2 linked regions of the Yarrowia lipolytica genome follow. The protein of the gene in region 1 interacts with the protein of each later gene in a pairwise test. Links are inferred from orthologs where the notes say so. Each region holds a gene or a part of one and is shown on either strand. Other genes may lie near its edges.

Region 1 (6,008 bases):
TCCCGCGACGTGAGCGACATGTTGTTGAATAGTGTGTGATATGAGAACGGACTGGTCGGGGAGAAAATTCAGTTGGTCGAGGCCTTCTTATTATGAGTGTTTCTCTCTTTCTCTTTTTTTAATTTTTTTTTAGGTGTGTGCGTGTGTCCGTGTCCTGGGTGTTGACTGTATCAAAATAGCCAAAAGCATATAGCCGTACAATTAGCTCGGGGTCTTTGTATCAAGGTCGTGTCTGAAGCGCAAATTTATGCACATAAAAGTCTATGGAACTTGAGCGTTGGAGAATATTGACAGATGAAGGGAACCATCTCTGGGAGACCTCACGCACGTGTATACACATCACACAATAACTACAGACTGGCCCGGTAGCTCCAACTACATTCCGTGGACTACCCCGCTGACTTGGCAAGCCCACCTACACACAGAGTTCTGTGCTAGATCCCCGGAGGTGCGTCAGCATGAAAAGGCGGATAAGGGGAACCATGTTCGTTATTAAGGGGCGGCTCTTGTTAGGCTTGTTTCTGGACATGCGTGCGTTCATCGCAATGGTGTCGCAAGGGTGTCCAAAGGGTGTCGTAAGGGAGTCTCAGGTCTGGTGTTGAACCACGGAGTAAGGTGGTGTTGATGCTGAGTCATTTGACACCACACAACTATTTCACAATCGTCACAAGTCGCGGTGTCTGGGGTCAAGCTTTGGGCTCTTGCAAGGTCTGTCCTTTCTTTCTCGTACTGCGATCCACGCTGCAAGGTCGCATGGACATTTAGGTTGACAATGGGAGCTGGGGCTGCCAAAACCACGCTAAACGATCGGTTCTGGTAAACATGCTCTTTCGGGCTCGATAGCAGCGCTCTTCTGGGGTGCTATTGATACAGGTCACCGGTCCTGGCAGTCGCATATGGCCGCCCAATCAACACGGCGCTCACAAAAGTTTCGACTCTATTTCCTATGTGCGTCTCGGGAAAGCATAAAGGCAAGGCAAGAAATGTGTGTCACGTTTAGCTGGAGAACGGCGGCAGTGACGACAAGACACATCATTGGAGAGCAGTAGCTCCAGAGTGCATTGCGGCGAAGAAAGGAAGTAGAGAAATAAACTACAAACCAAAAGATAATCGCATCTGATAACTCCAATCTGGTGTGACGTGATGAGTTCTTTCTTGGCTTTGGAGCAACAAGTGGACATGGTCTTGTTGTCAAGTAGGGAACACATGCCGATAACTCTTGTTCAACAGACATTCTACTATAGACACAAGCTCGGGAAAAAGTCGGAACAAAGTCGGGACAAGCTCGAGTCAAATTTTAGCATCTGATAAATTAAACCGTGGACGATAATCAGTGAAAATCTTGCACTTGTGTGATCACACGAGCAGAACGACGAAGAAGCCAAGGTTAAACTGCTCCTAGCTGCACCTCTAGTCCTAATCAATTCGCTGGTCTTCGGAAGCCGTTGCTGGTCCATCCGCACGGCCTACTGTTGCTCCAAGCTTGTTGCTTTATCCGAATGGGGTGCCTTGTTCCTTTCAGTCATGCATCATCTGCTCCAGGAGATGGATGAAACTGTAATAAAGACGTCAACGGGAACCGTTTTGGATGATGGGGCCCATCAACGACAGCTACAGAGGACTTGTAGCAACTCCAACAGCCCTCAGTCATGTCCCGGTCACTCGAGAAAAAGAAAAGCCTCCTGAATGCCATAAGCTTAGCCTCGGACTAAAAAAACTAACCCGGAGTTAGTTTTAACATGTTTCTACAGCTCTTGGCGAGGCTCTAGAGAGGCAATTGTGGCCCTGACATGCCTCTGGCAAATTTCGGAGTCTGTCGGAGTCCGAATCCCGCATATCTCGCTCGGACGAATTAAATTTCTCGATAACACGCTAAGCGTCTGCATGTGGTTGAGCACCACAACCCGAACTCTAAATGCCCACCATCCATCCATCATTCATCACAGACACCGACGATCACGTGACACCCGGGGGATGACAAGTAAGCTTCGACAGTAGACGCACACCACACAAACGAAACAACCATGTCGTTGACGACCAGAGATGATGTACGAAATCGGCTGCGGCCTTTTGGAGTCATGTGAGTATGCAGAATGCAGCAGTCGTGTGATTGAAGAGGTCATGGGGTTCCCTCTTCACCATAACACCAGTGAGCCATTAACCAACCACAACACCACAGCCACACTAACACAGATTCGAATCAACATTAACTGATCTCATTAAGGGTATTCGAGCCGCCAAAGATCTGCCCGCCAAAGAGCGGTTCCTCAAACAGGCAGTGTCCGACTGCCACCAGGAGGCCCGAAACCAGGATCTGACCGTCAAGACACTCGCCATCCTCAAACTGGCATATCTGGAGATGCTGGGTTACGACATGTCGTGGGCCTCCTTCCACGTCCTGGAGGTCATGAGCTCGCCAAAGTTCCAACAAAAACGAGTGGGCTACCTCGCTGCCATCCAGTCCTACCGTGACGACGACGATGTGTTGATGCTTGCGACCAACCTCCTTAAACGTGATCTGACGTCAAGCTCGCCGGTCGAGGTGTCCGTGTCTCTATCCGCAATCGCCACCATTGTCACCCCTTCACTCGCTCAGGACGTGCACCCCGAAATTGTCAAAATGCTGTCCCATTCGAAACCCTACATCCGAAAGAAGGCAGTGCTGGCAATGTATAAGATCTTCCTCCAGTACCCAGAGGCACTGCGGACGTCGTTCTCTCGTCTCAGAGATCGACTCGATGATTCAGACCCCTCAGTTGTTTCTGCCACAGTCAACGTGATCTGTGAGCTCGCCAAGAAGCACTCAAAGAACTACGTGCCCCTGGCCCCACAACTCTACCAGCTGCTGACCACGTCCTCCAATAACTGGATGATGATTAAGATCCTCAAGCTGTTCTCGTCGTTGGCACCCATTGAGCCTCGGCTTAAACCTAAGCTGTTGCCTCAGATCATGACCCTGATCCAGTCCACCTCGGCACTCTCCCTCCAGTACGAGTGCATCAACTGCATTGTGAGCGGAGGCATGCTAGGAGAAGACGACCACGATGTGGCTGGTGTCTGTGTCGAGAAGCTGTCGTCTTTTGTGAACCAAGGCGACCAGAATCTCAAGTACGTGGGTCTTTTAGCGCTTGGGAAGATCGTCAAGGTCCATCCCATTCTTGTTGGAAAGCTGCAGGGTGTCATTCTGGAATGCCTCAAGGAAAACGCCGATTCCACGATCCGAGAACGAGCACTGGAGCTTGCCAACGATCTTGCATCGGAACACAATGTTGAAACCATTGTGAACCTGCTGCTTTCCCAGCAACTTACCCACGCGTCCATTTCATACATTCTGGACATGTGCTGCAGAGACACATACTCACTCATTTCCGACTTTGAGTGGTTCTTGAATGTGCTCAAGAAGCTCGCACTGGTCGATTTCCCTCTCGAAGACCCTGCTCGGATCGGAGAAACGCTCCGAGATCTGTGCATGCGAGTCCCCGATATGCGAGAGGAGATTACCGGAGTTTGCTACGAAATATTCACAGACGGAGGTGTGTATCTCCGGAACCCCGGCGTCCTGCCTCCCGTTCTCTTCTGTCTCAGCGAGTACCCCATGCATCGACAAAAGGACATTTTGGACTTTTGCCTCAACTCATACTCGCACGTCAGAGAGAACAGTGGCAGCAGCAACAATGCTGTCGATCTGGCCGTTTGTGTATGCATCGTGAAGGTGTTTGGCAAGTTCTGCGAGGGCATCATCTGGTCATCTCCCAACGAGCTTTATGTTAAAAAGACTGTGACCAATGTGATCAAGTTTTTGTCGTCATATCTTGCGTCGCCGGACTACGAGCTGCAGGACTTTGCCACCCAGTTTTCCGAGCTCTTCAAGGTCATTTCCGAGTCTCTGGAGGAGGAGGGTGTGCCTGTGCTTCTTACCGAGGTGCTGCCGTCTTTCTTTGCATATGAACTGAATCCTGTGGCACCAGACACTCAGAAGAGAATTCCATTCTTAGATCTGGAGCTCCCTCCCGAGCTTGAGCAGACCCTGGAAGTGGAATTCTCTGACATTGAGGACGAGGAGGTTTATGTTGAGGAGGAGTTTACCCCCCAATTTGCTTCTACGGTCAGTGGAGTGCAGAAGGAGAGTCTACTGGATGCTCGTAAGGAGCGACTAGAGAAGCAGAAGGATGATCCGTTCTACATTTCTCGAGACACTACGCCCAATCCTCTCAAGGACGAGCAGGTGGACGTCGATTCCATCCCCGTGGTGGACCTGCAGATCAACGAGACATCGATAAAGACTCCGCCCATTCAGACCAAGCCGAAGCGCAAGATTAAGATCATCAAGGACGAGCAGATTGATGGCGAGATTGTGCCCAAGTTGGAGGTGACCAAGAACGTCAAGAAGAACGTTTTGATTCGGCCCAACCAGCTCGACCAGTTTGAGCTGGAGGACGACAAGGACTCGCCCGAGGTTGCGCAGATGAAGCAGGAGCTCAAGGACAAGAAAGATAAGAAGGACAAGAAGGACAAGAGGGACAAAAAGGACAAGGAAAAGAAGCCCAAGAGCAAGGCCAAGAAGGAGGGGGCTGATGGCGAGGTCAAGGAGAAGAAGCGCAAGAAGCGGGTTGCCGTCATCGAGTAGATCATAGATGTATTGTAATTAACCATACACTTGTACTGTAGCTCAAGCATGGCGGTACAGTCTCGTATCGTATCGTAGCAAGCTGGTTGTGCTCGTTCTAAAACTCTAATGCATGTATCACGTGTACTAATTTAGATAGGGTTCCTATCAAGTTTTCTGTGGCGTTGAACAAGCATGCTGTCAGTAAGATTAGGACAATCAGTAAAGGGAAGGTGCAAGTGCGAGAACCTTGGGAGGAAGGAGAAGAGCACCGGCCCAAAATAATTGGGACGTAACGTAAACCAGCGGGGAAAAAAAAGAGAGACCCTGGTGTTTGGAGTGCGTGTTTGTGTCACTTGAGACGCTCGCGTGTAGCATTTTGCCGCGGCAGACCCGCGCATCTGACTGGTCATTTCCACTCAACAATGGGCAGCCCCACACATACGTTGCAGGTGATACTATAGCCTGTACTGTATCATCTGTCCCGTAACCACAGCAGCAGCGCTCAATACTCCGCACTCTATACATTTAAGCTTCTGGGGTTCCTGATAAAGCCTTCGCCACCTAGACTTCAGTGTGTCTTCTCTCTCACCTCTCAGACAACAACAAACACACACCACACCGACACCGACACGCTCTACATATTTTAAGTCTCCTTACAATGTCTCCCACCACGGGCGAAGCTGACAAGACCACACCTTCTACCGTTCCCGCCAGCTCTGCGATTTCGCAGACCAAGGGACGATGTTCCTTCACGCTCTTTTCCAGACGAAACGACTGGACTCGCAGCGGCGAAGTGGACTGTGTCTCTTTCGAGCCTGATTCTATGAAACCATTCGACGTGGAGCTCACCGACGCGCAGAAGCAGACCCTGGGGTCACCCAGAGGCCACAAAAAAAACATCCATGTCCCCAAGGCCTTCAACCTCGTGTCTCGCAACCACGCCAGCTTTGTAGCCACGGATAAACAGCTGTTTCTGTTTGAGAGCAAGGCAAAGTACGGCACCAAGCTGGACGGCCAGAAGTTGCAGCTCAACACCTTTTATCCCCTGAAGGAAGGCTCGCAAGTGACCCTGTCCCCTGACTGCAGGGCACACGGCACCGCCTTTGATTTTGAGGTTGAGAGCATCTCCTTTGGAAAAGCTCCTGCCACTCCTTCTGTGACCTTTTCTTCCTCGAGCATTGTTTACAAATACGACAGCGAGGTTTCCCAGGGCACCAGCATGGACTCTTCCCCCAACGATGCCATCGTTATTGACATTGATTCCGACGATGAAGATACTGGCGAACAATCCGACATTGAAGTCGTTGGTTGTGCCGTTTCGTCGGGTGACAACGGGGAAGGGCAAGTTGGAGATGCTCAGCGATGCCACTGGTCCGAAGAAGACGAAGAGGATCGCAAC
Region 2 (4,014 bases), on another chromosome or scaffold:
TGAGATCATTGGGCACTCCGTTGGTGATCATGGAAGCACCCTGGGAGTTCGAAAGGGCACCAATACCGTTGTCGTTAATAAAGTAGACGGGGTAGAAGAGAAAGAACATAGTGGCTTTAAGAGTGGACCAGACATCGTGCACAAACTTGGGAGGATAGGTGGACTTCTTGCGGAAAATGTACTGGTAAATGACACCACAGAAGCCAGCAATGATGGAGTTTTTAGAGGACGGGACCTTGTACACCATGTTTCGGATGATGTAGAGAAGAGCAGGTAGGAAGAAGTAGAGGATAGTAGGTACGAGAAAGGCGAGCCAGTAACCAATTCGTTTCTCAGCATAAGCAGTGCCCAGACCGAGGAAACCACCGACATTGACAGCCCAGTAGTAAACCAGGGTCATTCTCTGCAGAGTGGTCTCCTTGTTTATCACCACTTGTTCCCCAGATGGAAGTGTCTTGACCCAATCATCGTCTTCTCGATACTGTTCCATCACTAACGGAAGCAAGTTGGGCTTGAACAGACCGGTTCCAAACGCGAAGATAATCAGACCCGCAATGAATAGACCCAGAGAAGCCTTTTGGGCTTCAATCACTCCAGGAACACCAGCAATAACGATAATAACGTGTCCAATTCCACAAACAATAGTTCCTGCCCAAATAGTGGGGTATCGTCCGTATCTGGCATCCGCAAGATAAGCACCAAGAAGAGGTGTCAGGTAGGAAAGGAAATTGAGAACAAGAGTAATAGCCGTGGCTACTTGAAGACCCTGGTTGAGAGCTCCAGCTGTAAGCTGAGAGTCCTTCGGGGTAGCTCCCCAGCCATTGCCCCCCTTTGGAAGAGGAAACTGAACAAAGTTGGAGATGACGTTTGTAAGACCGTAGTAAGAGCCTCGTTCGGCAAACTCCACAAGTGCCAAAACGTAGGTAATCTTTGGAACTGGTCCAGAGACTCTTCGGAGTGCGATATCTCCATCCTCAACCTTTCTCAACCCATTAGGATTCCACTCGTCGGTGTAGTTGGCCCAAGTGTGAGAGTAATGCTCGTGCTCCATATAGATCTCCTCATACTCGTAGTCGATTCCATCCTTCTCATTATTGGGGTCAACGCTTCCCTCTCGGACTGACTCGTCATTGACAGAGGTGGTCGTAGCTAGTGTGTCCTTGAGAGCGTCCTTGAGAGTCCCATTTTCGGGAAACTCCGGAGTGGGGTCCAGACTGTAGTCAATATGGGAGTCGTACTCAACCTGAGGATTGTACTCAACTTGCTCAACCTCAGAAAGGTACTCCCCCTGTGAAGGGTACATGGTAGCTTTGAAGTTGTCGTCCTTGTCGTCGTAGGTCATTGCGAGATGATGGCCCCGGGATTTTCTCTGGCAATTTCTTATATATATACTGTAGATACATTGGATGACACTACTTGTATTTCAGAGCCGTGGAGTGGGGATCTCATAATTGTACTAGACACTGGGGTAAACACACTAGTCTATCGTTTCGGGTCCCCAGATAAGTGGGGAACATTCCATCGATAGCCTGAGAGGTTTGAGTGTATGCATGCCGTTTCGAGCCGAGATATGCCAAAGATCAGCTTCTCTTAATGGCTTTCCACCGTTTCTTGGTACACTGCACAAAATACCGTTAATTAGACCGTTGGCATGGCAGGAGCGACCAAGTACATGCCTGCGCACGTTAGTGAGTGTACTGTAAGTACAGTAGCTACAAGACTCTAACTTGGAAGGCCCGTAGCTGAAAATTTGAGTGGTTAGTATGTTAATTATCCGAGGCGTATCCGAGGCTCTTCTCATCGAGCATTTCCACTACTTGTAGACCCTGTGTAAGGTGCATTTATGAACGGCTCACACCCCACAACTAGCAGGGAAAAACTTCTGGAGTTGGACCTATTGGGGTAGTCAATAACCGGGCTCCCGCTTAAAAAGGATTGTGGGGTACAAGTATCCAATAAGTGCTTGCCGTGTACTTGTAGATTGAAGGAGGAGAGTCGAGTTGGATAGGAAAGGGTCAGCTCGAATATCTTCACCAGATTTACCACGTACAACTTGTACTTGTACTTGTACGAGTAGTGACGCTTGCGAGAGGGAAAACGATCGAAACTCGAGGATGGACCAAATGGCCATGGAAGAATATGTGTGGATGCAAAATTTTCCTGCTAAGATATCCATAGACTCACTTCGAACAACCCCGCTCTATACCAGTCCGAACTTTCGCTATATGAGTTTACTGACCATCAGCATGCATACAGGGCGCGCTCAGCCGAAACCACGCAGTATAGCTAGCTACGAGTACAAATACAGTAAGCACCTTCTATGGGACTTGAATAATAAAAACACTAAGTAGGGACAAGGGTCAAAATGCATTGAAAATTTTCAGCAATGAATGTTACTTCCTCTCAGAAGTTCCTACAAGTACTACAAATACAACATCTCCAAGAGCAGTTCTCTCTGTTTCTGGGTCATGTTGAACTCTAATAACCAACCACCTAAATGCTGCAGAGTTCCATCATCGCCCACCATCGTCAACCACACACACTAATTACAGGTAATGATCCACTCGGTACTGATCTTCAACAATTCGGGCTTGCCACGATTGACTAAATTCTACGCTCCCGTGGACCTGGCAACACAACAAACGCTTCTCAAGCAGGTGCATTCTCTGCTGGTGGCAAGAAAACCAGACGCATGTCTGTTCCTCACCCCTCCTCCTCTTCTCCAGGGCCAGGAGGATGTTGACACCATCCGTGTCATATACAAGCACTACGCCACGTTATACTTTGTGTTTGTAGTCGACGAGCAGGAATCCGAACTCGGCATCTTGGATCTGATCCAGGTCATGGTGGAGTGCCTGGACCGGTGCTTCGAGAACGTCTGTGAGCTGGATCTGGTATTCGGGTGGCAAACACTTGAAACCGTGCTGGGAGAAATCATTCAGGGAGGCATGGTCGTGGAGACTTCAGTGACCAAGATCGTCGCTGCTGTCGACGAGGCTAACAGAGGTAACGGTAGTGCGGAAATGAAGGAGGGAGGTGCGAGCGGAGGATTCGCCAACGCTCTCAGTGGAGCCACAAACGCCATCAGTCAAATGGCCAAGGAGGGACGATGGTCCTACCGATAATTGTATATGGCTGTGACTATGAAAAAAATGTTGGATGCCTGAGGACTACAAGTAGTGGATGTCTGATGTGAGGAAGCATAGAGAACGGTGTCACGTACATGAAGTACTGCACACATGTAAAATGAATGAATGTATTATTGACAGTTGGAATGTGACGGTTCGTATCAAGCCACTTGTCCACTGGCTATTAGTGTCACAAGGGCGTACAGACCTGCTCACCGTCATATCCCAAAACCACCATAATACTCGAACTGTTACAAGCCCCACAAGTGATGCAGAATCATGTTCCTCTTTTACCAGTATATATTCCTCTTTATCTTCAGCACCACGCACCATGTTTGTGTTATATGAGATATACTGTGGCTAGACACTCACCAAGATCGGGTAATTACACCAGAAGTAGGAGCTACTACTTGTAGTACATGTAGCGATAGTACAAGTACAACAGATATTACCAATGCGTCATACCCAGGGTCCAGACACGACCGAAGAGCCTGTAAGTTCACAGTGCCAGTAGCGCCAACCTTCAGCCCTCATTATTACGGTAATGAGTTCGAAGAGCAATAAGAGCGACCATGAGCCAGAACCTTTGAGCCAGCCCGCCAGTATGTACTCGACATATATATTCATGAGCAAAGAGTCCTTTTTCAGTGCCAAATCGAGCCCAACAACATCTACTGTAGATTCAAAAGAGCATACAAGCACTTTTACGAGACCGATCTCCAAATTATGGTGAAACAATGAGGTCTAAAGCTTTCAATGGACCAGTTTCAAAGAGTAAACCAGTCTACAAGTACCTACAAGCATAAGTTTTTTAGATCAAAACATTACATCTGGTAGTGTGGCGACACGTAGATGTGCTCAATCCCTTCGAAAGCTGAACATTGGT

The links. The genes of interacting proteins can lie anywhere in the genome.
Region 2: the proteins of YALI1_F00229g (region 1) and YALI1_E35181g interact in binary tests that used the Saccharomyces cerevisiae proteins (3 or more experiments, as listed by UniProt). The link is inferred for Yarrowia lipolytica from reciprocal best matches to the Saccharomyces cerevisiae genes APL5 and APS3.

What each region holds. Positions count from the first base shown.
Region 1 is NC_090775.1:20,885-26,892, forward strand, and holds YALI1_F00229g (uncharacterized protein), read left to right. Parts: upstream 1-2,024; coding exon 2,025-2,080; intron 2,081-2,193; coding exon 2,194-4,627; downstream 4,628-6,008. Other genes in the region: YALI1_F00207g (uncharacterized protein), read right to left, coding at 1-20; YALI1_F00261g (uncharacterized protein), read left to right, coding at 5,268-6,008. UniProt on the Saccharomyces cerevisiae protein: Part of the AP-3 complex, an adaptor-related complex which is not clathrin-associated. The complex is associated with the Golgi region as well as more peripheral structures.
Region 2 is NC_090774.1:3,515,525-3,519,538, forward strand, and holds YALI1_E35181g (uncharacterized protein), read left to right. Parts: upstream 1-2,555; coding exon 2,556-3,125; downstream 3,126-4,014. Other genes in the region: YALI1_E35168g (uncharacterized protein), read right to left, coding at 1-1,342. UniProt on the Saccharomyces cerevisiae protein: Part of the AP-3 complex, an adaptor-related complex which is not clathrin-associated. The complex is associated with the Golgi region as well as more peripheral structures.